4 linked regions of the Arabidopsis thaliana genome follow. The protein of the gene in region 4 interacts with the protein of the main gene of each other region in a pairwise test. Each region holds a gene or a part of one and is shown on either strand. Other genes may lie near its edges.

Evidence for each region.
Region 1: the proteins of NHX8 (region 4) and LHT1 interact in a protein complementation assay, tested with the Arabidopsis thaliana proteins (one large-scale study listed by BioGRID).
Region 2: the proteins of NHX8 (region 4) and BETA-TIP interact in a protein complementation assay, tested with the Arabidopsis thaliana proteins (one large-scale study listed by BioGRID).
Region 3: the proteins of NHX8 (region 4) and FLA2 interact in a protein complementation assay, tested with the Arabidopsis thaliana proteins (one large-scale study listed by BioGRID).

The regions. Positions count from the first base shown.
Region 1 is NC_003076.8:16,321,034-16,329,925, reverse strand, and holds LHT1 (lysine histidine transporter 1), read right to left. Parts: upstream 6,360-8,892; 5' UTR 6,104-6,359; coding exon 6,074-6,103; intron 5,617-6,073; exon of another isoform or gene 5,227-5,616; intron 4,799-5,226; coding exon 4,632-4,798; intron 4,546-4,631; coding exon 4,162-4,545; intron 4,048-4,161; coding exon 3,654-4,047; intron 3,564-3,653; coding exon 3,458-3,563; intron 3,336-3,457; coding exon 3,244-3,335; intron 3,116-3,243; coding exon 3,047-3,115; intron 2,943-3,046; coding exon 2,844-2,942; 3' UTR 2,544-2,843; downstream 1-2,543. UniProt on the Arabidopsis thaliana protein: Amino acid-proton symporter. Transporter with a broad specificity for histidine, lysine, glutamic acid, alanine, serine, proline and glycine. Involved in both apoplastic transport of amino acids in leaves and their uptake by roots.
Region 2 is NC_003070.9:6,126,850-6,133,828, reverse strand, and holds BETA-TIP (beta-tonoplast intrinsic protein), read right to left. Parts: upstream 3,805-6,979; 5' UTR 3,621-3,804; coding exon 3,479-3,620; intron 3,179-3,478; coding exon 2,913-3,178; intron 2,783-2,912; coding exon 2,387-2,782; 3' UTR 2,202-2,386; downstream 1-2,201. Other genes in the region: AT1G17820 (testis-expressed sequence 2-like protein (DUF2404)), read left to right, coding at 1-238, 341-707, 853-947, 1,120-1,314, 1,404-2,078; ENODL22 (early nodulin-like protein 22), read right to left, coding at 4,438-4,649, 4,791-5,001; AT1G17790 (DNA-binding bromodomain-containing protein), read left to right, coding at 6,553-6,979. UniProt on the Arabidopsis thaliana protein: Aquaporins facilitate the transport of water and small neutral solutes across cell membranes.
Region 3 is NC_003075.7:7,489,512-7,496,549, reverse strand, and holds FLA2 (FASCICLIN-like arabinogalactan 2), read left to right. Parts: upstream 1-3,469; 5' UTR 3,470-3,740; coding exon 3,741-4,952; 3' UTR 4,953-5,323; downstream 5,324-7,038. Other genes in the region: AT4G12740 (HhH-GPD base excision DNA repair family protein), read left to right, coding at 346-361, 404-463, 556-675, 761-858, 945-1,480, 1,557-1,972; AT4G12735 (uncharacterized protein), read left to right, coding at 2,365-2,547; AT4G12731 (uncharacterized protein), read left to right, coding at 3,190-3,372; NUDT7 (MutT/nudix family protein), read right to left, coding at 6,993-7,038. UniProt on the Arabidopsis thaliana protein: May be a cell surface adhesion protein.
Region 4 is NC_003070.9:5,029,595-5,039,288, forward strand, and holds NHX8 (Na+/H+ exchanger 8), read right to left. Parts: upstream 7,017-9,694; 5' UTR 6,846-7,016; coding exon 6,626-6,845; intron 6,530-6,625; coding exon 6,479-6,529; intron 6,411-6,478; coding exon 6,319-6,410; intron 6,244-6,318; coding exon 6,166-6,243; intron 6,081-6,165; coding exon 5,923-6,080; intron 5,841-5,922; coding exon 5,739-5,840; intron 5,660-5,738; coding exon 5,542-5,659; intron 5,457-5,541; coding exon 5,404-5,456; intron 5,328-5,403; coding exon 5,262-5,327; intron 5,168-5,261; coding exon 5,123-5,167; intron 4,991-5,122; coding exon 4,938-4,990; intron 4,736-4,937; coding exon 4,551-4,735; intron 4,435-4,550; coding exon of another isoform or gene 4,415-4,434; coding exon 4,370-4,414; intron 4,282-4,369; coding exon 4,174-4,281; intron 3,861-4,173; coding exon 3,632-3,860; intron 3,542-3,631; coding exon 3,239-3,541; intron 3,099-3,238; coding exon 3,001-3,098; intron 2,917-3,000; coding exon 2,785-2,916; intron 2,704-2,784; coding exon 2,569-2,703; and 2 more. Other genes in the region: AT1G14650 (SWAP (Suppressor-of-White-APricot)/surp domain-containing protein / ubiquitin family protein), read left to right, coding at 1-582, 669-926; AT1G14670 (Endomembrane protein 70 protein family), read left to right, coding at 8,075-8,226, 8,506-8,546, 8,655-9,240, 9,317-9,454, 9,565-9,694. UniProt on the Arabidopsis thaliana protein: May act in low affinity electroneutral exchange of protons for cations such as Na(+) or K(+) across membranes. May also exchange Li(+) and Cs(+) with a lower affinity.

The sequences.
Region 1 (8,892 bases), on a different chromosome or scaffold from region 4:
CTCCGGCTGTAGTACTCTTTGTCTGAGTACTTATATCTTTTGGAATGAGGAGTTATATAATATTACCATAGCCCATAGGTTTTTCTTATGTCTTGTTCCAAATATATAGGATATATATATAATACGTTTTACGTAAATTTTATTTCATATATGACTTTAACTAATGTAGTATACATGTGATTTACATTTGTTTCTGAAAAATATTCTAAAATACTACATAACTTGTACAATAATAAGATGGATTTAGTTTATTATTGAAATTTTAGTTTTATAGTTATAACTTAATACAATAATACGCGTATACAATGAAATCACGTTTGAAACCTTAAAAAATTTATGTTCTAAATATATAGTAAAAGTTATAGCAGAATTATGTTCAAAATGAAAAAATGATATACCATTCATGCTTTAATAATACATTATATATATATATATATATATATGATGTAAAAGAAAAAGTATAAAAAGTGCATGTATATAGTTAAGCGGTCGTTACCCTAGATTCTATATACAGACCCAGACCCACATTATACATGTGTAATTAAAAACCGCTATTATAGGTTGAATTTATTTGGTTATCTATACACATCAAATATTTTCCAACAAATCAATAGTGTATATTCGTTTATGAGTCATTCTTTTTTAAAGTGAAAGCGCGAGATTTCAAATTTGTTTCCTTGTTTATTTTGTATATGCGTACGTACAACATAAATATAAAAAACAAATAAGAAGGGACTAGTGAAGAAATCATAAGTGAACAGATGGCAATTTTAGTTGGAGGAGAGTTCATAGAAAGGGCTGTCTTGGTTGGTCCTTGTCTATAAATAAGGTTCTTTCTTTCTCTTCTTTTAACGACAAAACCCATGATTTATGGACTAACCTTACAGCTCACACATGCATATATCATACATATCACTGGATGTTATACTATTAACTATATTATTTATATATATATGTTTTAGTAGCCTCGATCGTTTATATTTTATGCAACATTGTATAGTCGATGGTGGAATCAAAACTCTCTTATTGGCCGGACGGTCAAAATCGATATTATCCTATACGAGGTATAAACTCCACAGACATAGTCAATAATTATTACGTCTAAATTTAATATTGTCAACACATATATATCAATCTATTTTAGTAATTAGTTTAGACTTTGGAGCAACATATTAGCATCATTGTTTAATATAATTTGGTCGCATGGGCTGATTTCTGGACTATTTGGGCATGATCCTACAGTGGTCCATGTAATTCAATGAATAAGATCACATGTCACTTGGGCCTTTACTGGCTGGGAGGCACAGTTACAAAAGTGACTTGAAGCCTTGTGGGATTAAGTGTTTAAACGATCAAAATACTTTCATCATAGTATTCAAACTTTGATCAGGATTCATGACATGCAACAGTTTTAAGTCTTAATTAAGAGGACTGGACTCTATATATCCTAATAAAAAAACAAGTCCATACACGTGATAAAGTTAAATTCAAACTAATCTCACACGTGACAAGACAATGTAAGATCAAGACAGTTTTCTTGCTACTTGCCAGAAGAGCAACATTGCAGATCCTATGCAAACAAATACTCTGAAGATGTTGCAACTGATATGAACGAATTGTCATTCCACCCTTGCGGAATTCAAAATTGATTTGTAAGCTATCTATTTAACAAAAGAAGAAAAATAGGTGCAAAACATTCGACTGCTCTATACCAAAATCCTGCCCAAAGGATCCATATACAACTCCGAATCATGTATTCTCAATAAATCGATTCCTTATCTCTTACAATAAATGATAATTACATTATATATAATCGTAAAAGTTGGTCGAAAATAATATATATTTGTAATCGTATAAGATAGTGATTGGGTTGGAAATTAATTTTTACAATGAGAATGATATTTATGTCCTGCCAGGCCATTAGAAATGTGGGCTCAGGAACGGTCCAATACTAAATTAAGAGGCCGAATCAGAATGTCATTACACCAAGTCACCAAGGTTGGATTAAGCTGAAATGATTCATTGCCTCTTCTGTAAATGTGGGGTTAAAGCACAAATGCGAAACTATAAAGAAGCTAAATGCATATATTATAAGCGTGAACAAACGGCAGTTGTAGCACATGCATATATTATAAGTTTTTTAGTTGGTTTTTAAAGTTTGGATTGGTTCAAATGGACAAGAACAATATTTTGTGTTGACAAAACTTCTTTTATTTTATTTTTAATTTCATCTTACTATATGTGCAAATTTGGCTGGCAAAGACTGCCATCGAATCTTCGAGTAAGATAATCATGAGTTATTGATTGGGTTTACCCCATCCGACTAATCAAATTTTAGATTCTTAATTCAAATATAAGAAACAGTGGAACATTGAACCCTTGAAAGCTTATAAATATGTTTCTTTATGCATATTCGTTTTGTAATGTATGAAGTATATAATTCATTTTTCTTCGTTGACTCACTTGTGAATCTTCTATTTTTGTCGTTATTTGCACGCTATGAAATATTTATATTCGTACTAATCATGAATTTAATGGCTATAATATAATAATAGTAATAACTTGGAAGTTGGAATGATATCCATCTATGTATTCTTTTCTTGAGAACACAAAGAATCAATCTCCTCAGAAAACCAAACATTTTGAAAACCTATTTGAGCAAAATATTATTGTTTTATATAATATATATAACACACACGAAAATACAAACCCTAAAAGCTACATTTAGATTCAGACCAGACCATTGATTCTTCTATAAATGTCTCGTGTTGATCTCTTAAAAACTTCTTCACACATATATTAATATAAAGATATGTTTCTTAATTAGTGGAATTACATAGCGTTTATGAGTAAAACTTGTATCCTTTTGCTTGAATAACGATTGTCCTTAGCCCTCCAATTGGCGATAGGACCATCAAGAAAAGACCAAACACGATGCATACCTGAAATAAACAACAAACAAAATTTTATTTTTTATGAAAAACAATATAACAAAACGCAACCGCGGATCGCAAATGCTTGAAAAGTAAATGATAATGTTACTTACCCAGTTGGCCCACCAAGACAAGCTGTATTTCTTGGGTTTGTAGATGGCTAACCAAATGACGCAAGGGAGCTGAAAAAATTATAAATAAATTAGGTAAGCTAATTTGTATTAATCAAAATTTGAAAAAGTGCATATGTTTCTTCATGAATAATAATTCATTCGAGCTGAAGAAAAGCGTTAAGTAATCGCAAACTTACGAAGTATGTGGTTGGGGCAAACGCGAATCCACCAAAGAACGCCAAAAGCCCACCGAAGAACGGAAACGTCATACCAACAAACATAGTTGCAGCTACAAAACCATAATTAAGATGACAAAAAAACTCATCATCAGATTTTTTGAACAACTAACACCTTAAAAATGTAAATATACATAAGTAAATAATAAACGTGAATTTCAATAAATTTTCTTACCAACGTAGAAATTACGGACAAAGAACCGAAGAGTTGTGGTTGGTCTGAAATTTAGCTTCTTGACCAATAAAGTCTCCATCATATCAAATACCGGCATTGCATATATCTGCAACAAAACCAAGATTTGGTTTAGACCTAGTTAATAACGGTTCTCTCTCGAGTATTTAAGGGTACGTTCTTGTTTAGAAAAACCAACCTGGTAACTACCAATGACATGGATCACGACGAAGATGTTCGCCGTGGCGATTAACCACGCCGGTTTCTTAAGTGACATGAGAATATTATCTTCGACTCCGTTCCCGAAAATGTAGTATCCAACGAGAGCCACGGGGAAATAACAGAGCGCTACGACGATGTAAGCAACGATGACTCCTCTCCACATGGGACCTTTTGAGGGTTTCTCAGGCGTTGAAGGGATAGTTGCTTGGATCTCAAGGACCACATTATGACCCGCGTAAGCAAATGCCACATCACCTAAACCGCTGAAGAAATTGAAAACCGTACCGGCTGTTGTTTTCGCTTTGTAACCGTATTGAACGTCTTCTTGAACACCTTTGCTTGCTGATGATGCCCATGCGATTGTTGAGTAGCTAGAAACAAAAAGGAAATTGATTTAGAACCGGATAATAAGGAAGAGAAAACAGAGTTATTAAATAAACCAAACCAAACTAATTTAAATTACCGAACCGGTTTGAATGATTTACCTGAGAGACATAACGGCAGCAGCAAGAGAAACGCCGGAGATGGAATTGAAATTAGGAAGATGAGAGAGGACGAAGTGAACCGAAGCAAAGATCATGATGAAATAAGTAAGCTTGATTGGTTTACAATCATCACAAACAAGCTCATGAAATTTCTTTAAAGATTTGCCTCCAGTGACCATATAAACGATGCAAACACCGATTTCAACGATCAATTGTTGCGGCACAACGATATAAAGACCGAGTTTTTCTCCAAACGCGTGTTGTCCGAGCTCATGGTAACGATCAAAACGCTTTCCAGGAACCATTTCATGCATTTCCACCATTTGCCATAATGTGTATAGTGTTATGACCCATGACAAAACCAACACTGCAATTCCCGGTCCCCTGAAAAGAAAACAAATTAAAACCGGTTAAGATTTGATAAATCCGGTTTAGGTAAAATAAACCGGTTTTGGTTTAGGGGAATTTACCATCCGAGCTGAGACATGGCGTAAGGGAGTCCAAGAACTCCGGCACCGACCATGGCGGTGACATTGTGAAAAGCAGAGTACCACCACTTTGCATTTCTTGATGAAGTAATTGGTAACCAATCTTCGATCTCTTTTTGTCTCGCTGCTGCTAATTTCTCATCATCCTGCTTTATTATCACAAGAATTTCAATTGCAAGAAAAGTCAATGATTTAATTACAACTCGGTTAAAAAGTTAAATAATAAACTTCTAGGGTAAAAAGTATAAGGGTGGATTTTGGAAGATCTAGTAGTCTAAAATGGTTTAGGTTGGTGACTAGGTGGAACGTCCCTAAAGTTTGGAAAAGTCAGAAACTGACCCATACTATAAAGTTGAGATCTACAACTACGTGCAAAGGTTAAAGGACAAAGAGAACAAGTTGATTCTGACTATTCCACAAAATCAATGAGAAAAGTCAACTTATACGAGTGTTGCTAAAAATCATGATTTTTGGGGATGTACAGTTAGATTTAATAACTTATGGGGTAAAAAGAAAATAAGGTTGAAAAGTTTGGAAGATCTCTTGGTGTAAACATGGTTTAGGTTGGTAGACAAACCTTACACAAAAAAAAGAAAGAAAGTAAAGAACAAGTTGATTTTGTTCATTCTACAAAAAATCAATGGAAGAAAAGTCAGAAATTATATGTCAGTGGGCTAAAAATGTGTATATAATAAATTATGGGGTAAAATGAAGATAAAGTAAAAGTACAATAATGGATTTGGAAGATCTCTTGGTCTTTTCTGACGATGGTTAAGGTTGGTAGAAGTTCCCTAAACTTTGGAAAAGTTGGAAACTGACCATGTACGGTACTTGAAAGTTAAGATCTGAACTTACGAACAAAAAGTAGATCCTTTTTTTTTGTTTTCGTAAGAATTCAATTACATAATTTTGGAGGGAAAAAAAAGAATGAAACTAGTAATTAAGGAGTTTAAGAAAAATCGTAAGCATTTAATGAGTCAGAAGTTTATAGTCAACACGTCATTAACTTACAATAAATTACTTCTGTCTTTAAGTTCTTAAATTCTCTCAACATCTTATCTATCTCTAAGCACCACAGTTTTTTTTTTCTGGATATTTTCTACAAAATAAATCCAAAGACCGAAAGGAAATTGTATCGTTGCGAAAACAAGGCTCAAAAAATCTTTGAAAGAAGAAACATATTATGAGAAATTCAGTGGGTGAGGTTAAAAAAAAGAGAAGTATTATTGTTTATCATTTGATAATTAGACTCAATTATCATCTTTACTTTTTAATTTGCTTTGCCCTGAGAAAATAACTCAAAGTCCAATTTGTCTTGTTCATAACAAAAATGAAGATCGATTATCGAAAAAACAAAAACAAAAATGAAGATCTGAATCACAATAAGGCAATAACATTGTGAGAGAAAGAGAGGAGAAACTAACATGATCATCATGAGGAGCTTGAGCTACCATGGTGAGAGGTTGAGAGGGAGAGAGAGAGATAGAGAAGAAGAGCTTAATTAACAAGGCCTCACACTTCTGAAAGATATTATGCTAAATATATAAAGCTCCTCATGAAGATTATAAGCACTGATACATCGTATATATATGCACTTAATTAGTTGAATATTATGACTTATGAGAGAGAAAGAAATAAGAGAAAATTTTAAAAGTGGAAGTTTTTGTTTGACTTCACAAACTACTTGTGGAGATGGGCACAAGAGTTATGAGCTGGACTCTTCTAATATATTCAACCTAACATAGAATCTTATAAATTAATAGTAATTATATATCTCTTACAATTAATTCATCCACTAAATGTTTAATTATGAATTAAATTTCATATACTATCCCTAGTTTCGTAACTTAAATAGGATTGGTTAACAAGGGAAGACCGTTTGCTTAATTAATTTGTAATTTAAGTATTTTGTTCAGTTAATTATTTTGTGTAGATCAGTTGTGTAGTAATTAGATTAGTCATAGATGCTATACTTAAATAAGTGAAGCTCCCTAAACATAATTATTTATTCGAATTTAGTAGTATGTTTTTGGATTTTTATATGTACCAATTAATATATTCACGGAATCTTTTGTTTTAATATCTTTTCAGATACATGAATGTCGATGTAATGACTCTTTGATGTATAAGCTATGTTTTGGTTTATAAGTTATCTTTTATTGACTAACAATAAAGAGGGAGAAGAAAGCCGTTCTTTTTGTTCACACCTAGATTATCTCGTCTAAATTGTTCGTCTATGGAGGACCAAAAAAAAAGATACTACTATATCATACTACTAGACAATAGATTATAGAGTCGATCCAAGGAATATACAATAAATTACTTTAATCTTAAACTATTAGTCGTTATTATAGATAGTGACAAGAATAGTTAATTTTGGGGCTTGTCAAATTTCTTAAATATCAGTTTCGATACCTTATGTGCTTTGTTATTATTGTTCATTTTTTTTGGCTAACATAAGTTAACAGAGCAAATGAAATATTGATCTCTAAAAACGAAACAAATCACAAAGATTTAAATTAAAAATCTTTGATTATATATGCTTTGAAAAATATAGATATATGTGTATCTTTTTGTATAGATATTGTGTTCCTTAATTTTGTGATTCAATTATTTTATAGCTAATTTGATCAATATCATGTATATAAAAAATATAATAGTGATCAAATTAGTTATAAATTCATTGAATTTTATAAAATTAAGAAACAAAATCAATATATATATATATATATAAACAAGACACATATATATATACATTTATATATATATCAAATATTATTTATTTTAATATATATGATTTGTTTCACTTTTTACATATTAAATTTCGCTTTTATTTTAAAACCACTGATTTTGTTTATTAAATTATGATTTGTTTCGTTTTTAGATAATTTAATATTTGTGAGTTTTATTATTTATACGGTTTTGTGGAATTGTGAATTTGTGATCGTATCTAACCCAAATCTTTCACATATACATTAAAATTCAAATATTCGATCAAATACCCAACTCCAGCTGGTAAATATTATTAGCAAACTATATATTAAAGCTTTAAAACCTTATGAAAGCACAATAACTAAGAATTTAAACAAAAAAAACTTTTATACATAACAAAAACGCTGGAAAGTGCGTTTCGTAAAGTGTCTAGCGTTGATCGCCGTAACCAAACAGTCCATCACTGATTTTTGCACATTTTCAAAACGTTATATATCGGTTTAGATTTTGGAGTCTTTAGACTAAACCATTGCTTTTGAAAAACAAACATCTTTTTGTCTTTTTGAACCAAAAACAATGTAAAATCATTTGTTTATTTGAAGTGTGATTTTGAGAGAAACACATCATCTCTCGTGACTCGTCTATGGATACAAGTCTACAAGTTTATAGTTATAGAGTTATACTATTGAAAACTATACTTAAAATATCACAAAGTTATATATTTTAGTTAAACTTACACAGTAACACTATAATTAATGATTTCATCTTGAAATGAATAGCTACTTATGATTATTTTTATTTTTTTCTAAAAAATCTTCTTTAAAAAAAAAAACTTTGAATTTGCTGTAAAAGTAAAAAATAAATCGAAACATATGTTAAAATGTTTGGTAAAAGTTAATTCATATGGAGTTCGACGTCACTAATCACTATACATAAGAAATAAATCCAAACACATGTTAAATGTTTGTTAAAACATTATATGAAATTCGACGTCATTATACATAAAAAATAAATCCAAACATAAATTAAATGTTTGCTAAAAAAAATGTTTGTTAAATGTTGTGTAGAACTTCTCGTGCCGGTGAGAACCAAGGTTTTAGAATCGTCTTCAAGTTAGTATGTTTTTTAACTGAGTATTTTCTCATTTCTTGTGGATGAACCCTTGATTAACTATGAACTAGTTTGCACTTTGCACTAAGATGCTATCCACTTTTTTCTCCAATTTCTTGTGGATCTAATTGATACATAGTTTTTATTTTATTTTTAGCATTGGAGAATATCTTATAGATCTAATGTCGATAAATTTTGGGATATTTGAATCTCTCTTATATTTGTACTTTGATTCAATTTAATGAATGAGATAAGTATCTCTCCAAAAAACTATAGAACATGAAGGAATTTGTCGATAAACGTTTTCTAATGTTTTTAGAAACTATAGAAATTCTTAGAATACAATTTCACATATAGTTTAGAACATGAAGGAAATTTTAGAACATGAAGGAAATTGTAGAACTCTTCTAAATTTAATTTC
Region 2 (6,979 bases), 1.1 Mb from region 4:
CTTTCCAGGAAAGAATAATATGACAGATGATACTGATGTGCCTATTTTTTCACGTTCTGTGAGCCATAGCAGTCATATTTCTGGGGTCAGTCATCTTTCTGGGGTTTCAGATGGAGACTCTGAAGAAAAGGTTGACATGGATGAAGGAACATTAGCGTTGAACTTGCTCATTTCTAGGCTATTTTTCGATCTCAAACGGAAAACAGGAGTGAAGAATTCAGTGCAAGCACGAATTCAGGTCTGCACTTTTCATGATTCTGAACCTTAGGATGAACTTAGAAATTTGAGATGATTTGATTTCTATAACAAAACAAAGATGTAACATTTTGGTTTTAAACAGCGGTTGTTATCTAACATGAGGACTCCGAGCTACATAGGCGAACTAATCTGCTCCGATGTTGACACTGGAAATCTCCCACCTCATATACATGCTACACGGGTTCTTCCAATGGAGATGAGTGGTGTGTGGGCATTCGAACTAGATATTGAATACTCTGGTGACGTGGTGATTGACGTTGAAACACGGGTTGACATCCGTGAGGTGGATCTGCAACAAGGCATAACCGATACAAGGTTGCAGCCAAGGTCTTCAGGGGTAGTCCCGTCAAATTTTGCTGAAGGTGTTGAAGATTTTGAAAAGCAATTAGTCTTCCCTGTGGAAACTGTTAATGCAGGAGAAGTGAAAAATGGTGGAGCCAATAAAGCAGGCTAGTTCAATGTTTACTTAATGTGGATTAATGCAGTCTTTTCTAGTTTAACCCACAGAGATCATGCGAGCGTGATTCCTGTTCAAAACTTTTTCTCAAGGTGATAATTACGATTGATTTCTTACCATCTTTCTGTTGGTTGCAGATGAATCCAAGAGCTCAAGAGGTACGAAGGCAGCTCCAAATGGTGTATCCAGGTGGAAGTCTATTCTTAAAACAATTGCTGAACAAGTTTCTCAGGTTGATTCTCCTTTTCCTAAACATCCACAAGATTATTCTTTATTTTGCTTGTTGGCTTGATATAACCTATCCTTAGTTCTCCTCATAACCTTTTTTGGGTTCTTATGTTTTGCTTTTCTAGTCATTCATGTCTCAATATGGTTTTCTAGAAATCTCTGTTTCTCAAATGCAGGTGCCTATCTCTTTGTCAATACGGGTGTCTTCTCTTCGAGGGACACTGCGGGTACACATGAAGCCGCCTCCTTCTGATCAATTATGGTTTGGATTCACGAGCATGCCGGATATCGAATTCGATCTCGCATCTTCTGTTGGGGAACACAAAATCACCAACAGCCATGTTGCAATGTTCTTGATCAACCGGTTTAAGGTACAGTTTCTTTCTCCTTTGTGATTCTCTTCTTTTGTTCTCTAGAGGACTTTGAGCTGACAGAATGTGATAACATTATGATTCTGTAGACGGCAATACGAGAAGCGGTGGTTCTTCCCAACTGTGAAAGCCTAACGATTCCTTGGATGATTGCTGAAAAAGATGATTGGGTTCAACGCAAAGCCGCTCCATTCATGTGGCTGAATCAAGAAAACGATCACAATACCTCCCATGCAACAGAAGCGAGATCTAAATCTGACAAGCCACCGACTTCGTTCTCATGTCTTCAAGCTGAGCAAATGCAGAGAACTGCAAACGCCACCCAGAAGATTATTTCTGAAATAGGGACATTGGCTTCTTCCTCCTGTGCTCAGTCTGAGCAAGTGCAGAAAGCGGCCACTGCTTTCCAGAAACAGAATACTGAAGCAGAAGCTATTATGTCTACGCCATTGTCAAACTCCACAACTGTAACAATAGAGAATGATAAATCCTTGGAAGAACTGAAAACTCCACTACTGGTACCCAGCAGCAGTAACAAGCAGGAGACGAACTCAAGAGGGAGTAGCAGAGAGGTTTCTGCTGTTCAGTCACCATCTAGGTCTGTAGCTTCAAGCGAAGAAGATGATTCAAGGGGGAAAAAACAGGGAAGAAGAGCAAGAATGTTGGATCTTGGGAAGAAAATGGGGGAGAAATTGGAGGAGAAGAGGCGTCACATGGAGGAGAAGAGTAGACAGATTGTTGAAAAGATGAGAGGACCTTCTTAACATGAGAAGGAAGAAGCTTTTGCAGGTTTCAGATGCAAAAACTGATTTATAGAAACAGAGGAAGTTAGGCATTGTTACATATGTACAGAGATGTGAGAGAAAGCCATAGATGTCCCCATATTTATCCGATCATTGAAAATCTTTATTATTCTGTAAGATATACAATACAAGAAAACAGATTTTGGTGTGGACTCAATTATACATAGGAAATGGCAGGAAAACAAAACAAGTAAAGAGACAAACAACACAAGCAAACACAGAGACTATTTATACAAAGAGAGAACCCTCTACATGAAGACTGCTCCGGTCTAGTAATCTTCCGGAGCCAATGGTTGGTGGGTACTGTGGTGAGGAGGTTCGTTCACGCTGGGGATGATCATGTACTCATAGATCAGTGCGGCGAGTGCACCACCAATGAACGGTCCAACCCAATAGATCCAATGGTTACTCCACCTCCATCCCACTAATGCTGGACCAAAGGCTCTAGCCGGATTCATAGAGGCTCCATCGAAAGGTCCTCCCACCAAAATGTTTGCCCCAACTATGAGCCCGATGGCTAGTGGCGCTATGATCCCAATACTCCCCCTCTTTGGATCGATTGCGGTCGAGTAGACAACATAAACCAAAGCAAATGTAAGTATGATCTCCATCAGTAGCCCATGAAGCTCACTAACTCCTGATGCTACATGGAAACCTACTGGTCTCTGCATCACAGAGAATCACATTCATTCATGAGCATATATTTACAGAGATATATACAAAGTTCTTGGTTCAACACAAAACTGTACCAAAAAGACAATAGTAATATATAGAGATTGATGAGAAGTAATATACCAAGCCATTAGTGGCAAGCCTCAACAAGAGACAAGCGAGGATAGCACCTATAAGCTGAGCAACCCAATAGTAGATAGCTCGAATGACCGAGATCCTGCCTCCGATTAGAGCAGCAAAAGTGACAGCGGGGTTGACGTGGCCACCAGAGACATTGATGGCTGCAGAAACAGCCGCGAACAAGGCCAATGCATGAGCTAACGCCACCAGAACTAACCCTCCAGGCGTGTTTGTCCCCGTGTGAGCCGCCGTGTCCCAATACAACTTGTCTGTCCAATAACACATATAACATAGTTCATATCACACATGCATGCATGATTATGCATAGTTCCAACGATAACATTCACTATAACTAAATTCAAAGGAAGTCTTATATATTCATTCCTTATTAAAACAAATTCTAAAATTGATTATATAAATAAGTTTGTGTAGGAGCTATACTACTAGAGTACTAGTGTTTGTTTTGACTAATACTCTCTCAAGTAAAGATGCTAACAGTATATAGCTGAAAATGTATATATTTTTGGGGGGATATTCCCTATGACCCTATGTATGTATAAACTACTAACCTAGAGCGAGGATTGAGCCTTCTCCAGCAAAGACGAAGACGAACGTGGAAAGAAACTCAGCCAAAGTGGCTCTAATGGAGTCCGGGTGAGTCGCCTCGTCAGCTCTCCCGAATCCATATGCTCTTCTAGCAGATGTAGCCATATATAACCCTAATTTAAGTGAGAGGATCAAACCTTAATGGATAAAGAAGAAGGAAGAAAAGGCAAGAGAAGAAGACTTGAAGAGAGAGAGCTTAAAAGAAGCAAAGTGGAAGCAATTAGGAGACAGATGTGATATGAGAGTGTCTGAAGCTGAACACGTGGATCCTGTTCGTGTCTATCTATTCCTTGATCTTACCTGATCATTCAATCTGGACAGTTCCTTTATTAAGATTCAATATATACATAACAATGGTACTGTGTAAATGTGTATGTATACTACTATCCATGCTGTGACTATATATCTATGCATGTGTGCCAAGTGGATCAAGTCACAATTCTCTGAATCTTGATCCGGTTTCTGTTTTCCTCGTCATTTATTTTGTCTTTCCATGTGAGATCGTAGAGTCAAAATATCGATCCCATGATATTTATTACAAGTTTTTGGTAAGAACGAATATTATGAAAGAAAAAAAAGAGAGACTAAAACTTGCTTTAGTTTGATAATTTAAGACAGATTCAATCTAAGAACTTGTTATAAATATTTCACTTTTGTTGATTACAAAGAACGAGATTCTACATCATTAGATTTTATTTTAGAACAGAAAATATATAACCTAAGAATATTTACGTTTTGAGCACATAAACTAGATATCATTAGATTATTTATAAAGTGAAAAGCTACTAATTAAAACGCAAATGAATTTTAATAAGATATTTATTAATCTAACATTTTAAACTGTTACAAATAACTCCAACACTACGTACGAAAACACTAATCATTCCACTTATCATTGTTATAATAAGTTGCTTCATTTAATTTATCTTGGAGCCAATGCTTTGATGGCCATTTTTAAACCGGTGGTACAATCCTCGGGAGTATATGTTCCGATGAAATAATTATAACCGTAATTAAGCTGGATCTTATCGTCTCCGGACGAATATTCTATCGCTCCAACGTTCGCTTCACAAGTTTCATAACCAGTTCGGTTTACCACAATCAAATTAAATCTCTGATAATCGTATTTGAATTCTGCAATGTATCACCATGAATATACCAATATAAATTTATTGTCTTAGCAGATTAAAGTTAAGCCAATATTAAAGTATGATGGATATGGTTTATCAATCACACTACCGTACCAAGATTTTTTTTAAGATCATTGATACATACCGAGAATATCACCAGCATAAAAGGTTTTGCCTCGTGCCCAAGTGTCCATCGGAACAACCGGATCCCAACCATCGTCGCCTCCCACAATGTAGGTGGTCGGTCTCCGGGCATAGGTCACGGCGTTGGCTAGAAACAAGCACAACACTGTCATGACAATAGCTATTGGAACCGTAACCGCCACATAAGAAACGTGTCCAGATGATTGAGCCATTTGTGTTAATAGGTCAAAGGTTTTAGTTTTGTGAATTGTTCAACACCTAATTATTAATATATATATATATATATAGACTATTCTTGAATTTGAAAAAGATCAATACATTTCCATGCAATGTATACCTGGTTATGGAAGAGCTTTTTGGTCAATGGGTGCATGGTTTTAATTTGGTGAACTAGTAATAAGACTTTATATATACGTATGACTATTTTTATCAGTTGCCAGAAATAGAAACAAATTCAATAAATTCGTAGATTTCCTTTTGAATTGACTTGATTGAGTCATGCTAGCTTGCGGTTATGGAAGAAATGTAAATATTGAAAATGATAGTGTTGTCATATCATCATATGAATGAATATCATATTATATAGTACACCTTGTATATTTTTGAAAAAAATAATTCTAGATAGAGATAATACGAATTGGTTTGCAGTTAGACGTCACGTAAAAGGAACATTTACGAAGTACTACTAACGCATAAACGGAGAAGGCATCGAGTCGTACATTTAAACCAAATGGATCGGAGGATTTAATAGAGGAGCTTTGGTCCAAAGGGCTAGTCGAAACAGAGGATGTAGTTCTTTGGAGAGGTAAAGATGATCGATTTCAGGCCACATTCAACACCAAAGACACATGGGAAGCAACACGGGAGCAAAAACCAAATAAGGAAGGTATGAAGGTATCTGGTTCTCGCACGCCACACCAAAATACTCTTTTAATTTCTAATTTGGCTAATAACTCATAACCGTTTAACTACAAGAGATAGATTGTTTACTTGGAATGTAAGGATTAATACCTCGTGTGTGTTTTGTCAAGAGCATGTAGAAACTAGAAACCACTTGTTCTTCGCATGCCAATACTCAAAGGAAGTTTGGTCGAGTCTCACTTAAAAACTCTTAGCTGCAGATTTCTCTACCGATTGGAACATGGTACTAAGGCTACTCACGGACAACATTCATGGAAAGATTCGCTTATTCCTACTAAGATATTCTTTTCAGCTGGTAACTTATTCAATTTGGAAAGAGAGAAACAGTAGAAGACATGGCGAAAATCATAACACCCACCACCCAATTAATGAAACGACTAGACAAAAACGTTAAAAACAGGATACCTTCCATTAAAGAGTAAGGAGATGAAAGATATGAGAAGCATATGATAGTTTGGTTTGCAATGAGATAAGGAGATGGCTCTTACTTTTATCTGATTAGCCTATGTATATATACGGTTCGTACCGGTTTGGTAATATTGTTGGGGGACACCTGAGATTACTTTCCCTTACTACACACATGTGTTTGTTTTCCCAAATTTCTCGGGTTCTAAAGCGCGTGAGCTTACGCTATTCTCGCGGCTCTCACCATTGTTTCCCTTTAGTTTTTTTTTTCAGCTTTGCAAAAAATCCAGAGCGATCTTTTTTTGAAGTAACCATTGAACCCTAATTTTCTTCTCTTTCGATCTCACCAATCTTCGATTTCGTGTTTAAATTCCTCAATCTTGGTACCTCGGAGCTCAAAAAACCCTAGAGAAACCCCAAATTTGGTTGTCAGGGGAATGTCTTCTGAACATATATCAGGTGGTGGAGCTTCAAAGACGAAGAAACATAAGTGGAGCTCAAGCCAGAACCGACCCAAACCAATGGGAGTTTCTAGACAGGAACGATCTGTTCCTCTTGTATCTCCTTCGAACTCGTTTGCGTCGGAGGACGATCATCACATGTTGAAGATAAGTCTGAGCTCGATTTCGAAGCTTGAGGTTAGGAACTTGAAGCGGAAACTAAAATCTGAGCTTGATGAGGTTAGGAGCTTGATCAAACGGTTCGATCCCGAAGCTAATCCTGGTGGGTCAATGGCTAAAAGTGGTGTTGTAGGGAGAAGCAAGAAGGTGAAAACAGGGAATGGAGGAGGTAAGAAAAGTGGGCATGGAGCTGATAAAGGTACGGTTCAGATTTTTAAGAACTGTAACAGTTTGCTTACGAAAT
Region 3 (7,038 bases), on a different chromosome or scaffold from region 4:
TGTGAGTGTGTTAGAAGAAAGAGCTTTCTTTTCTTGTGTTATGTTGTTGCTTGCTTGTCTTTGTTTGGCAAATTGGCTCTTTTCTAGAGAGTGTCTGTGTTTTCTATCTTACTCTGTGGGAGATTGAGAATATATCCTACAAATGTTCCATTTGATTCCCTATGTGGTTGTGTTTTTTTTTTTGTAAAGAAGGTTTTAGAGAATCATGTTTGATGTGTAATAACTGGGAAGTAAAGGCTTAATCTTCTTAGGTTTTGCTCTGCATTTTCCCATCATTAGTAAGGAAATGAGTACTCTATTAGTCTCTATTTTTCAATGCACACCATTGGGATTTGTTTTCTTCAGGGGGAATGAGAAAAAAGTGATTCTTACTGCTAATCAAATTGAGTTCTTCGCGCTGCAGGAGGTAAACGAAATGTGGGCAGGTTTGGGATACTATCGGCGGGCACGTTTTCTTTTAGAGGTAAATACTCTTCTGCAATCTGGGGTTTGATCCTAGTTGATACGTTCACTAAATATCATTGTGATCTTTTCTTCTTGTCTTGATTCTCACAGGGTGCAAAGATGGTTGTTGCAGGGACGGAGGGTTTCCCTAATCAAGCGTCTAGCTTGATGAAAGTTAAAGGAATAGGACAGTACACAGCCGGAGCAATTGCCTCAATTGCTTTCAATGAGGTGAGTCAGTTTCATTTTTTTCAGTCATCAATGTAAGACATCTAAGTAATTATCTTTACGTCTTTTGACACTTATTATGAACCAGGCAGTACCTGTTGTTGATGGAAATGTGATAAGAGTGCTTGCTAGATTAAAAGCCATCTCAGCTAATCCAAAAGACCGACTTACGGCCAGGAATTTCTGGTGAAATAACTTTTGTATTTGCTCGAATGTTTCGCTATTGAGACTATACTAAAAGAGAGGATAAAGAAATCATTTATCTTTGTCAGGAAACTAGCTGCTCAGCTAGTGGATCCTTCACGCCCTGGAGATTTCAACCAATCTCTGATGGAGCTTGGTGCTACACTATGCACTGTATCAAAGCCAAGTTGCTCTTCTTGTCCTGTTTCCAGCCAATGTCGTGCATTTTCACTTTCCGAGGAAAACAGAACGATTTCCGTGACAGATTATCCTACAAAAGTAATCAAGGCCAAGCCAAGGCACGACTTTTGTTGCGTTTGTGTTTTGGAGATACATAATCTGGAGAGGAACCAATCAGGAGGTAGATTTGTTCTTGTAAAAAGACCCGAACAAGGTCTGCTTGCTGGTCTTTGGGAGTTCCCATCTGTTATATTAAATGAGGAAGCTGATTCGGCAACAAGGAGGAACGCAATAAACGTCTACCTTAAGGAAGCATTTCGTTTTCATGTAGAACTCAAGAAAGCATGCACTATAGTTTCAAGAGAAGAACTCGGAGAATTCGTCCACATATTCACTCACATTCGTCGAAAAGTTTATGTGGAGCTATTAGTTGTACAACTTACAGGTTTGACCACTATCTATCTCTTTCTTTCTAGGTCTCTTTTTTACATATAGTTAGAGAAACTAACAAGAAGTTACAGGCGGAACCGAAGATCTGTTCAAAGGTCAGGCAAAGGACACTCTAACATGGAAGTGTGTGAGCAGTGATGTTCTTTCTACCTTGGGACTGACATCAGCTGTTAGAAAGGTACCTCCTTTTCGTCTTCAACATATTAAAAGACTATCCTTGGATGTGATGGTTGAGAAGGAACAAATTTTGGAGTGCAGGTGTATTCAATGGTTGAAGCACACAAGCAAGGCTTATCTGTTTCTCATGTCTCATCAAATAGAACAGCCATATCGAGGAAACGAAAATTCTCATGATCTCCTTCTCACACTTTTCTTCATGTTGCTTAGCTTCTATAGTTCTTGTCTAGCATTGGGAATCAAATTTGGTGATCTTGGTTTGAAATTGAACAGCTTAGTTTCTACTGAGAAAAGTGACGGTGATGTGTGATCCCTCCAGAGTCCAGGGGTTGATTATGTATTTTGGGCTAACAAATATTAAAAAAATGGATTGTTAAGGCCCAACTTAAGCCCAGAAATAAATTCAGTCAGTGGATTCATATAATCGCGTGGACTCTTTCTTCCAAATGATTTACATAAAGAGTCAAAAGTCCTTGAACTTCACGTACGAAGACTTGTCAAAAGGCATAATTAAAACGGACAACGAAACTATTCACTTATTAAGCTTGGCCGCCAAGTTATAATGTCACTTTCCAAAAAAGAGACGTGTACAAAGAAGATTCAGTGACTTTCTTCACCATCCCCTTATATATACATTATCTGACATGTATAGTAAGCTCAAATTAACTTAAGAACTCACACTTAAGTTTTAAACCTCCAAGGATGTCTCTCTTCACGCTCTTCTTCGCTTGCTTTGTTCCAAAATCTGGTTCAAGGATTAACACAACCGACAGTAATTTGGAAGTCTTGTCTTTGAAGAAACCCAAAAGAAAAACCGAGTCCATAAGAACTCCTACTATCGTCGTCTCTTATTTTCCCGTAGGCTCCAACCTTTCTCGTCTATAGGAACTAGGAAGTAGGAAGGATAAAAGTGAAATTCTGTAGTTATGATCACAACCAAGAAAATATATGAGGCTGATACTATTGATCCAGTCCAATCTTGTTTATCTATGTAATAGACCAATGAAAGATTCTGCTTGTGGTCGACACTTTTTTGTAATGATGATTTTGTTTTGGGTAAGTTTATGTATATACAGTGGCACAGAGACAGAATAACTATTTATTGATATAAATATTATTTTTTAGTCAAAACTTTCTTACTTAATTGAAAATGAAATAAAATATTTAGCAGCAAATTATATCTTATAAACTCACATGCTTACTCATATCTTGTAATCGTTTTATCATTTGCTTCGTTTTATGCAGTGTTAATAACATTTGCAACGGCAAATCGTCTTTTGAGTAAAACATGTATTGATTCTAACGATTATAGTACAAACAGAAAATATGTTTACTCAATTGCTATATCAGGGTCAGTTGCGGAGTGGTTTGTTTAAAAACCACTCTACCACTATAAATATTTGTAAAATGATGTCATTAATTTTTTTTATAATTATGCTTTACAAGCTTTAGTTTTGGACCGGCCTGACTTTAGGCCAAGATTCAAATTAATAGAAAACCTCGCACTTAAGTTTTACAACTCCAAACATGTCTCTCTTCACACCCTTCTTGGCTTGCTTTGTCCAAAAATCTGATTCACGGGTTAACACAACCGACGCTAACTTGAAAATCTTGCCTTTCAAGAAACCGAAAAGCAAAACCAAGTCTCCAAGAGCTCCCACGATCGTCGTCTCTTACTTTCCAATAGGATCCAACCTTTCCCGTTTATAGAAATACGAAGATGAAAGTTAAATTTTGTAGGTATTTAAATTATACCTAAAATTGGTAAAAATAAAAATATACTATACTGTTACAGTTAAATTTTGGTCATGTCTACGTATGTACCTAGAGCCGAATAAAATATTGAACCGGGCCTTAATATTTCCTAAACACTAATGTGTTTCTCTCGTCGACACTTACTTTCAAATGTGACCCAGACTCAAGCTATGTAGAGCCCACTTACCTGCTGCTGCGCTGGAAATATGCGAGACAGCTTTGTTCATATAATCTATTTTATATATCTTTCATTATTATAAGACTCCTCTCCAAATGCTACCACACAATTCCTCTATCAAAGCCGCCCAATCCTCCACCCAAAAATGGCTTATCTCCGGCGAGCAGCCACCGCATTGGTTCTCATTTTCCAGCTCCATCTCTTTCTCTCTCTCTCAAATGCACATAACATAACCCGAATCTTGGCCAAAGACCCTGATTTCTCCACTTTCAACCACTATCTCTCAGCGACTCATCTCGCCGACGAGATCAACCGCCGGCAAACAATCACCGTCTTGGCCGTCGATAACTCAGCAATGTCCTCCATCCTCTCTAACGGATACTCACTCTACCAAATCCGCAACATTCTCTCTCTCCACGTCCTGGTCGATTACTTCGGCACCAAGAAACTTCACCAGATCACCGACGGCTCCACCTCCACTGCCTCCATGTTTCAATCCACCGGATCCGCCACCGGAACTTCTGGATACATCAACATCACCGATATAAAAGGCGGTAAAGTCGCTTTTGGTGTCCAAGACGACGATAGCAAGCTCACAGCTCACTACGTCAAATCCGTCTTTGAAAAGCCTTACAACATCTCTGTTCTTCACATCAGCCAAGTCTTAACCTCGCCGGAAGCAGAAGCTCCCACGGCGAGTCCCAGCGACCTCATCCTCACCACAATCCTCGAAAAACAAGGGTGCAAAGCTTTCTCCGACATCTTGAAGTCAACCGGCGCCGACAAAACGTTCCAAGATACCGTAGACGGAGGCTTAACGGTGTTCTGTCCCTCCGACAGCGCTGTCGGTAAGTTCATGCCGAAATTCAAATCCCTTTCTCCGGCGAACAAGACTGCGTTAGTGCTTTACCACGGCATGCCGGTTTACCAGTCGTTACAAATGCTTAGATCAGGTAACGGCGCCGTTAACACGTTAGCGACGGAAGGTAACAACAAGTTTGATTTCACCGTTCAAAATGACGGAGAAGACGTGACGCTGGAGACGGACGTTGTGACGGCGAAGGTAATGGGGACGTTAAAGGATCAAGAGCCATTGATAGTTTACAAGATCGATAAAGTGTTGTTGCCTAGAGAAATCTACAAGGCCGTTAAGACGTCCGCTCCAGCTCCTAAGTCGAGTAAGAAAAAGCCTAAGAACGCGGAGGCTGACGCCGACGGACCTAGCGCCGATGCTCCGTCAGATGATGATGTTGAGGTGGCTGACGATAAAAACGGCGCCGTATCAGCGATGATTACTCGAACAAGTAATGTCGTAACGGCCATTGTCGGGCTCTGTTTCGGAGTTTGGCTTATGTGAAGTGACGTGGCATTTACCTCGCTTTGGGAATCTTGTTTTCCTTTTTCTTTGTGATCTGTCGGTTTAATTTATTTTACATATTCTTTTTTTTGTTCACGTTGATACTTGGTGTGGAGATTTGGAATAATTAATTGTTCCACTTGTGTTGGATCTGATATGTTTTATTCTAAAAAAATGTGATGATCATTCAAAAGAGTGATTGGTACGTTGGAATCACGTGTATCTATAAAGATAGTGTCGGTGGTAGTCGAAATAGTGTGAGGCTGTGAGCTGTAAGATGCATGTTACATCCTTTGTGGTCGCTTGGATTTGACCCATGATGATGCTCCATCGTAACTACACTAATATGAAATATAGTATACTTTCAATTACAGAGGAAATCAGAATAGGGACAAAGATTATAATACGAGATAAAATGAGTGTTAGTTCAAACTTCCGATTATAATGTCGTAATATCTTTTAACCATATGTGTTGCATTGCACATAGTAATAAGGGCTTTAAGAGGGATTAAATGTTTTTCTATCTCTAGGTTGGGCATCTCCAACAAAAATTGTATTATCAGCTCCTACCTAATGTGGTGATATTCTTATTAGATATACTAGATCTTTCTTGTTCCATCAATCCATAATTAATAGTGTTTTGGACATGTAAGTTTAGTTAATCTCTAATCCGGTTTACAAATTGCGGTTTAGGTGTAATTAAAAAAAACAATCATGATTTAACTTATTAAATAAAAATCGGATGTATTTAAGAAATTTAGTGTGAGATAAAAATTGATTTTGTTAGTACCTACTTGTAAGAAATGTAATTATTTTATAACAAATGTAATTATTTTGAAGGATACTAAAATAGACATTTTATTGCTTTAAGTAATGTGCAAAACTTCAAAACATTTAATGCCACAACTATTGAACGAAGCTTTATTCACCCTTCTATTCACCTCCTTTTGCATTAACCAATAAAAACATGTCATGTCAAATCTTACTTAAATTACATAATAAATTAAAGCTATAATTATAAATCTAAACCGATATATAATCTCGTTTAATTACAAAATCTAAACCCTAATTCTCCTTTGTAAACCCAAACCTTCATTTAAACTCATTTAATCGTAAGAAAAAACTAAACCCTAATCGTATTTTCAAAACCCAAACCGACATTTAACCTCGTTTAATTGTAAAATCTAAATCTGTTTATAAACCTAAACCAATATTTAATTGGTTAATTGTAAAATCTAAACCCTAATCGTACTTTCTAAACCCAAACCGATATTTAACCTCGTTTAATCATAAAATCTAAACCCTAACCTTTTCTAATAAATCCAAACCGATACATAATTTCGTTTTAGTGGCAAATTAGATTTTATAATAAAATTAAATTCTTTTTATTATTGTTAAATGTCAGATTTTAATTGATTAAAATAGAAGAGGTGAATATAAGGGGGTGAAGGGTGAACCCAAGTATTTTTAGCAACTATTCCATTTTAAATTTTGATGTTTCCATGTTACAATAAATTTTCTATTTCTGGAAAAATAAATACACTATAATTTTAATATGGGGCCTATAAAGTTTTTTTGGGGCTAAAGCCCATATATGCCTTATCTTTTTCACGTTAGGCACACAGTACAAACGAGTCGCAAAAATTGGTGTACATATACAAAGTAATGTGAACCTTTTTAATGGCATTAACACTTTCTTGGATTCACACCATTTACCAGTGTAGTAAATGGTCAAGAGACGATACAGCTGAGAACTTAAAACCGGTTACGAGAAGATATTTTGGAAGAATAAACCAAGTGTATGGTAACACTCTTAAGCCTCATATCTTTAAAAAGCACGTAAGCGTTGGGAGAATCAAACCATCACTGGAAATAGACTAGAAGTCGATGGCAAGTTTTACAGTGGCTCATAGAGATGGTATAAACTTAAATATTTAGACGCAATTTTGTAGAATCGGAATAATATAGAAGAAAGTTTCCTGTTTTGTACACACTGGACACACACATGCCGAGATCAAACAGAATCAGATGAGAATGTTTTCAGAGAGAAGCAGAGGCTTGGTCACGCGATACTTTAAGGCGCTTG
Region 4 (9,694 bases):
CACACAGGAAGTATTGGTCGCACAGCAAACCAAGCCTTGAGTCAGAACGCTAATGGAGAGGAGCAAGGTGATGGCGTTTACGGAGATCCCAATAGCTTCCCTGGTCCAGCTGCTCTTCCACCTCCTCGACCAGGTGTCCCAATAGTCCGACCATTGCCACCACCTCCTAATCTCGCCTTGAACCTCCCTCGTCCTCCCCCTTCTGCTCAGTACCCCGGTGCACCAAGGCCACTAGGTGTTCCGATGATGCAGCCCATGCATCAACAACACCAGCTCACAATGCCAGGGCCACCAGGACACCCGCAGATGATGATGAACCGACCACCACAGATGCAGCCTGGTATGCATGTGCCACCTCCACCGGGATCTCAGTTTGCTCATCATATGCAAATTCCTAGACCTTATGGTCAGCTTCCACCATCTGCAATGGGGATGATGCAACCACCACCTATGCCTGGGATGGCTCCTCCTCCACCACCCGAGGAGGCTCCACCACCTCTTCCTGAGGAACCAGAGGCAAAGAGACAAAAGTTCGATGAGTCAGCCCTTGTTCCAGAAGACCAGTTTCTTGCTCAGCATCCGGTAATGTGTTCTTCAGTCTTTTGAATCATTTTCTTAGCCATTTTCTTTCCTCTGAGTTGTATCTTACCTGTTTTGTACATTTTCAGGGTCCGGCTACAATCAGGGTTTCTAAGCCAAACGAGAATGATGGACAATTTATGGAGATCACAGTGCAGTCGTTATCTGAAAACGTGGGAAGTTTGAAGGAGAAAATAGCTGGGGAGATTCAAATCCCAGCAAACAAACAGAAGTTGAGTGGAAAAGCAGGGTTCTTAAAGGACAACATGTCGCTTGCACATTACAATGTCGGAGCAGGAGAAATCCTAACATTGTCTTTGAGGGAACGTGGTGGGAGAAAGAGATAGAGAGACAGCTGGTCTACGCAGGGAAATGCTTTTTGATCTCTTATTCTTCTCTAGATGTTTAAATTGATGGCCAAAACTATATGTACTACTCTCTCGTTCACACATCTTTACTCTTGGCTCATCATATCTCTGCTATCTATGGAGTTTTAGAAAAAGTAGAGTGATTATTACTGACTTAAGCTTGTTTTGGATTTGCAGCTGAGGCAACATTTCGCTCTGTAATCTTAAAAAAAGAATGTGATACTTTCCTTTGTCTCTGTCTTTGTGTGTTCTTACTATGGTTAAGCTTCTTTTAGTGCAGTTTGGCTTCTCTTCTCTGTAGGTACGATATGAGGATGCTGTTTTCCTTTTTTCCAAGGGCTTATCGTTGTCACAGGTATGGAATTAGATTAGATAAGATGTTAGTTGAAACATTGGGAATATATTGCTTTAGCTAGTGTACTAATTTTGGTTTTTACCGTATCAGTCACTTGTAGTATTAAACAAGGCTACATAAGATTGGTAAGCTTGAAATGATATGAGAAAATTAGAAAAACTGAAACAGACTTCGAGTTTGTGTTGAAAATTCAGAATTACTAAAGAAAAGTAAAGTTACAAAAGCTGAGTAGCTTATACATGAACTATTACAAGAAGTTGAATAAAAAGAGCTGAGTAGCTTATACAAAAGCTGAGTAGCGTATACATGAACTATTACAACATTCTGAGATGACCCCTTCCCTCTTGGTGACTCAGAGACCATCCATTGAGCTTATGGTCTTTGACTTATTGGTGGTACAAAACAAGTTGAATAAAAAAACTGAGAATTGGGTTTTGAATCTAATTTCATCCTAATTGAGTTTTGGTTTGGTCCTATAAATGTCCTTAAGGCTTGATGGTTTCAAGAGAAGGTGTGACATAAGAAGATGAGGGAGATGATCGGAGACATGATTGTGTATTTTTACGAGAAGGGAAACAAAGACAAGAAAAGAAGACAACACTCATGACTCTTTTAAGAACTTGTCCTCTCTTTGGGACTAGACAAGCTTCTCTTTCACCCATTTCTCTCTCTCAGCCCGGTTTATGTCGGTTTGGTTTTAGTACTAGAGATGATGATGTGTCTCTGCAAGCTGGAACTGCCGACGTGAGAGTTTATAGTGAAGAAGAGTTGGGTGAGTTAAAAGAACCGCGTGAAAATTCTCAAGACGCGTTGGCTCGTTCTTATATTTTTGTTCCTATTGCAAATTCGTTTATAATTTGGGAATTTATATATTTCTGGGATCTAGATTTGTTTTGCATATAAGTGATTAATATAGGTTTAACTTTAAAGTGTACTGTCAGAGTTTGAAGTAGTCAAGACTTTTTCTTTCTTTGGTTCCAAGTTAACGCGTTTTTGGCTTAGAGAGCGACCATGATTTGTTTTTTCGTTGATGTTTTTTTCCCTTTACGGATTTAACCATTATCGTTCTTATTTTCCTTTTCAAAGCCAAAAAGGATTGATTGAAATGATTATACGAGTTCATGAATTCGATCCCTGTAATTATGAAACAAGTTAAAAACTATACGAATGGACTGTTTTTGGTCATAGATCGAACGAGCTCATGACTCGATCCTGGAACCAGATTCTACTCTAGTTGATTCTGACAAGGATACCTAAAGTCTCAGTTCATGCATCTGTTTCGCCAATGGCCAAACTCCTGAAGCTTGAGCGATCTTTCAATAAAGGATTGCTGGTGATCAGATCGTCTACATTTGGAAGTTTTAGTGAAGGAGGATGTCTCAGGAGCTTCTTCAAGTCAGACTGAAGAGGGAGAGTAGAGTGAGAGTGTTAAGCTCAATCATGTGGCTAAAACATGGATGGCAAAGAATCTACAAATTTTACCTGAACAACATCATGAAGATGAGAAACTTCTTTTCCCTCTAACAAGCCAACCTTCTCAAGGTTTTTAATATAACCATTTAGATGATTCAGCACATAATGTGTTACTTGTCTTGTTTTCAAAACACTCAAAACCTGACAAATATATTGGCCAATATCAGCCTATCAGTTAATCCTGACAATTTAATGGGTTTCAAAAAAAAGTATATGGTTCCAAACCTGAGGAAATGAATCACGGACATCTTCCAAGAACTGTTTTGCTTCTTCTCCTTCCACCTCACTTTCATTGATTACAGTAGAGGCAATGTTACTGTTACCTGTGTAAAGAAAAAAGCACATTCTCAGGTAAATGATGGACCAAAGGTTTTCATTCAAGTCTGTATTCGTGAGCTAATATGCAGAGTCTTAAACGAATTTAACATAGAGATATTATTTAACAGAACAGAGTGATGCATACCTAGAAAGATATGCAATTGCTGTCGCGCAATCCTATGGGCACGGAGAAATGCAGAAGAAATGTAACAAGCAGATTCCAGTCTTTCAACGATCAAATGCGTGACTAACTTGTGGGGGATAATTTTTGACTGAAGAAACTTGTAGTAATTTGGGAAATGAACACGCGGTTCTAAACCCCTCCAGTCGCTTAAAGAACTGGTAGAAACAAGGTCAAGTGCCTCATCTACTGATTGCATCAAAACATTAGCAGTACATTGTGTTATTCTCCCATCATCAAGCATCTCCCAGTAAGCTGCCTGGACACCTGATACAGGCAAGAGTCTCGAATCAATAGCTACTTTTGGAACGACACTAGTTTGACAATGAGAAGAATTTACTACGCATTGTGAAATACCATTTAAGAAGCGTATACGTATGTCCATTATATTCGTAGGGTCAAGACTTCCAGCTTCGTACCCATCGTGAGGATTAACTTGTCTCCCTTCTAAATCTTTCAAGCTTGAAATATGTCTTATAACTGTAGGCCAGTCAGCAGATCCAAGCTCCTCGTCATCTCCAAGATTTTCAAAAGCTTTTAAAGCAGTCTTCATCATTTCAAACTTTGTATACTCCAATATTCGTTTCTGTCAATAGAAAAAGAGGAGCATTATCATTATATTTCTGAAGCATTAGTTGCAAAGATTGTGCGTGTATATACATTAGAAGGATCGGTGACAGATTCTGAAGCAGGTTGATTCCCAATCTCTAACTACCTATTCTCGGTTTGTAAAACGCACAAACCTAAGCTAATATACCCACAACTGCAGAAGGATGCAGTCATTTGTGCATGTATAAAGACGGATGATCAGAGGTTCCATTATCTACCCATATATCCTGTCTTTGCTTTTTAGATTTGAAAAGTAGCAGCACAAGAGAATATAGGATTAACATACTGACCTTAGTGGCCGTTAAAGTGTCCATGCGAAGAAGGTGCAAGAGCAATTGGGTAGTGGATCCATTAACAACCAAAGTTAGGAAAACAATCCCACCTGTGAGGAATAGAAACTGCAAAACAGCTGAAACACATCAAGATAACAAAAAGAGCCTCCAGAAAGAAATTCAAAAGTAGTTCATACTGTGTTTCAGAACTCACCCTTGTTCCCGTATCTGAACTGAGATATGAATTTCCACTTGATTGCTGAATCATATGACCGAGAGCTATAGTATGTCAGAGAAAAGGAAATGGGAACATGAATATAAAAGATTTGAAAACAGATTTGAAATTAGTAGATATTGCTCTTGCATGAATGAAATGCCATTTCTTCAGAACTCACTTTTACAGATAGAGCGAGCGACAGCGAAACAGCACCCCTTAATCCAGACCACGTGAGTATGATGGATTCCTTCCAATCCAACCCATAGCCAGAACGGCATAGCAATGGGTACAAAACTCCAACAACAACACAGCGGGAAAGTTGGACATACAAGTATAAGAGGAAAAGGAAGCTCCACGAGTTTCCTGAAAAGAACGTTACGAGTAATGAATGGTCCTCTTAACCCCAATATATGTCAAAAAGAAAGCTACTGCGGTAATGGTATCAGGAATTAGCGATGTTATCCGTTAATCATGACGAATTCTAGGAGAAAACCTCCCTTTACATCTTCCAAGAACAAAATAAAAAAAAAATCCGGACGTAGAATAATAAATTGTGAAGAGACACCTTTGTAAGATATTGTCTGACCGCTAAGAACGCTTTCAGCGATAATAACTCCACTGCAATTCACAAGAGACACACATGCAATGATCTTGTATCAATCAGGTATCGGCTAAAACATCGTCTGCAGTATTTTGTTTGTAAAATAACCAGTAAATTTTTGTTTTCGAATCTTGCCAGACAGTTCGTACCTGAGCATAAAAACTAGTGTATTTGCAATGTAAGCGGCCATTTCCCTACAAAAGTTATAGGGCAATCATAAAAATATAATATATACATGTAAAGATTTCCTTTGATTTGACGAAAAAAGAACACTGAGTTGTGAAATACCAGAAGTGATGCAGACTCTGGTGACTGTCCCCCTTAAAAGCTGTCCTTGCAAATGCAGCGAAAAACCTATTACAATTATGTTATGAACAATGGCTTTTTGACACATAACAACAGAAAGAAGGGATAATTTACCACGACTTACATCCCCAAAATCATGACAGTCAAAATTCCAGAAACCCCAGCCCACTCTTGAGCCTGTACATAGTAGAAATTTCTTAGGTTTCCTAGAGATTTAAGATTCTCCATTGGGGACTAAGTTATGTAGAAGAGAAGAGCATACAGTGTAATAGGCGAAATAGCTCGCTGAAAGTGTTACAGTGATCTGAGCCACCGTGTCATTGAATATGAATTTAAGCCAAAAAACTGATGCAATTCCAAAAGCTAGACCAATGCCTACACTAAAAAACCAGAACAACATAAGCGGAGAAAAGAAGACAGCGACATACAATACTACTAACAAAGGAAAATAATCCATACGCTCCGAATGAGTTTTGGACAAGAAATTTGATTATGGAACCCCAATCAGAGTTATGCCCCATCACCATCTTGAAGAATAATTGAAAAACCACAACCGATACCCTGAATAATCCAAACAACTAAGCTTGATCATATATGACATAACATCACCTTGATGCTAAACATAAGAGTTTGACATGGTTACCCATCGTTCATGAGAGATTCCCCATCAATTAACGTGGTCATCTTCTTACTAGCACCAAGCTCCTTTAGCAAAGCAACAACAGCCACGGGGTCGGTAGCTCCTAAAAGTCCTCCAAGCAACAATGATGTTTTCCAGTCCCAGTTATATGGAAAAGTAAGCTACAAGAGCATAACTCGAAAAAATTGTTAAGTTAATTGAAGCTCACTTAATCACAGTCGAAAATGTTGAAGCTAGTTAAAGTACCTTTATAAGAGCTCCGAGACAAAAGGTGGAAATCAGAACTCCAGGTCCAGCAAGCAGAACCATTTGTCCCATACATCTCTACCAATGATGTAAAACAATCAATACCAGGAACCAACACAGCCAAGGAAGTAGCTCAATCAGGAAAGTAAAAACCTTGATCTGGTGCACATCCATGGAGAATGAGCTCTCGAAAAGAAGAACAGGGAGAAAAACAGCCAAAAGTAGGTCAGGGTTGATACCATTCCCTGTAAAGTTGCCATTTTTTAGAGCTCGTAATCTAACAGTATGGAGAAGAGAAAATACAGTAGCTTACAGATACGAATTCCATGGCCGAGCTTCCCAAGGTTATGCTTAGTTCCATATTCTACAGAAGCAAAAAAATCCAAAATTTAACTACTTTCTAAAATCTTCCACGAAATTGAAACTGAGCTATAAAGCTTAATGAGCAAACAAATAAGACCTAGGGATCCGAGAAAAATGCCGATGACGAGAAGAACGACGGTGTACGGAACTCTAGTGCCGTTAAACAAATATCTACAAGCGGTGCCGAGAACCAGCGAAGTTCCCGCGAAAATAACAGCATCAACAGGACTCGAATCGTTCTCAGCTGAATACGAAGAAGATGCAATTGCTTTCTCCGGTGATTTGTACGGCAACGCCGCGCCGATTATACTCGTCATCTCCGGTAGAAAGAAGCAAACGATCAATCTTTCGTTTTGCCAGTGATTACGGTCAAAGATGCTTTTACCGAACCGAATCTGCTTCGTTTAAGAGTGAACCAAGATTGAATCTAGTCTGGTTTGGCTTGACCTGTTTTATTTCGGTTACGTCTGGTTTTCTATCACTAATTTGAACGAAAATTTGAGAAATCTTAATACGTTTTTGATTAGGTTTCTGTTTTCTTTGCTAGATATGAATGTAGTTACTGGATTATACTACTCTGTTCAAATGAAGGGTACATATATTTACATGAACCAAATTATGAAATAACAAAACCGACTCACTCTAGTCTCTAAACTTAACTAGTGTCACTTTTGTTTGTTTGTTTTGATCCATACTTCAATGTATCTTGTTCAAATTGTTTGATTTTATTTTTGGTATAAGTGGCTACATTGTAATTTCTTGCTGATTCAATCTATAAATCGAAAACCTTAAATTATCCATGCCTCAAAACGATGCACGTTGTGTATAAATGAGAATTTTAAATTGTTTAGTTTCTATAATTGCTGTCATGACGTGAGATCATGCAAAGCAATTACGTACGATAACGCACGTAAAGGAAAAATGATTATCAGATTCATATATTTTTTTTTTCAAAAACTTGGTCTCGTGTAACATCATTCGTCATTCTTCATATTCACTATACTATAACCACAAAAGATATTAAAAAAATAGTCACTCCACTCCACATCTAATACAAAGAAGTAATAATTTAACTATTCAAAATTTATGAAGTGTTAATACGATAAGATTTTCGACCCAAGGAAAAAAAACACTATAAGATACATAGGTTTGGCAGAACAATTAGTTCGCTCACTGCCTACATATTCTTTTTTTGGTTTAATTAGCCTACATATGGGAAAATGATTTGTATTTTGTTAAATGCCACTCACATTTGTTATAAATAATTAGTCTTGGTTTCAAAAGCCATATATTTATGAATTTATAGACATTGATATTTATTTTTATGGTTGGAAATGGTATAAAGTATTATTGACTATAGTTTTTTTATGTATTTTTCTTATGAAATAAAGTGAGAAAATAATAAAAATATTAAAATTTGTGTAGCTGACTCGAGTTTGATTGAAGTCTTTGGTATATAAATATTGTCGTTATTTCCTCCATTTTTCTCCCTCTTCTCCCAAATAAAAAAAGTTACTCAGATCTCACGATTTGAGCAGAATACGCAATGAGGACACCGACGACGATTCTCCTTCTTGTCGGAGCTATCCTCTTCTCCGGCGCCGGCTATGTCAGATCCGACGCCTCCGACCACCGTTACAAGGAAGGAGACACCGTTCCTCTCTACGCCAACAAGGTCGGCCCATTTCACAATCCAAGGTAAACGGAAACATCTATTCTAGATCTGAGCTTCAGATCTGAGGTTGTTTCCCATTCTTAAGCCTGAGGATGATAAATTGATCGTTTATTGTTGAATCTGTTGCTATTGAATTGAGTAACGACATTGATAACTGAGTACACTGCAAAATGCGTAATGTTAAAACCAAAGAGTGAAAGAAGAAACTACATTTGGAATGTTTTTCGTTTATGTGATGGATCTGTCTTAGATTTGAATACTATTATATGACTGATTTTGGTTTTGTTCAATGATGATTGCAGTGAGACGTATCGATATTTTGATCTTCCCTTCTGTATCCCAGGTATGCTTATATCTTTACTAGCTTAATCACACGATTTGTGTTTAAGCCGCAACTGATTTGTGTGACATCTCCTGATTCGATCATCCCATTATTGAATATGGTTTATAGAGGGTGTGAAAGAGAAGAAGGAAGCTCTTGGCGAGGTTCTAAACGGGGATCGGCTAGTTAGCGCTCCATACAAGCTCAACTTCAGAGATGAAAAAGAGTCTGAGGTATACTGCAACAAGAAGTTGAGTAAAGAAGAGGTCAAACAGTTCAGAAAAGCTGTTGAGAAGGACTACTACTTCCAGATGTACTATGATGATCTACCTATCTGGGGATTCATTGGAAAGGTTGACAAGGATATCAAATCTGATCCGAGTGAATTCAAATATTTCTTGTACAAGCACATTCAGTTTGAGATTCTATACAATAAGGACCGTGTGATCGAGATCAGTGCTAGAATGGATCCTCATTCGCTTGTGGATCTCACTGAGGATAAGGAAGTTGATGCAGAGTTTATGTACACTGTGAAGTGGAAGGAAACTGAGACTCCTTTTGAGAAAAGAATGGAGAAGTACTCTATGTCTTCTTCTCTTCCACATCATTTGGAAATCCACTGGTTCTCCATTATTAACTCCTGTGTCACTGTCCTTCTTTTGACTGGATTCCTTGCAACTATCTTGATGCGAGTCCTCAAGAACGATTTCATGAAGTAAGTTTCAAGTTTCCTCACTGTCGACTGTTTTACACTTGTCTATCTCATCTAACCTTATTCCAATGCTTAAAAGGTATGCTCAAGATGAGGAAGCTGCTGATGATCAAGAGGAAACTGGATGGAAGTACATTCATGGCGATGTGTTTCGGTTCCCTACTCACAATTCTTTATTTGCTGCATCGCTCGGTAGTGGCACTCAATTGTTCACGCTGTAAGTCTCTCATAACTCGAATACTTTCCATCTGGATACACTTTCATCCATATCCGCATTTCTTCTTACTGTAACTAACTGTAGCTTTTCCTTTTATTCCATGTCATCAGCACCATATTTATTTTCATGCTTGCTCTTGTTGGAGTGTTCTACCCATACAACCGAGGAGCACTCTTTACCGCTTTGGTGGTCATTTACGCTCTCACTTCTGGAATTGCCGGATACACATCTGCCTCTTTC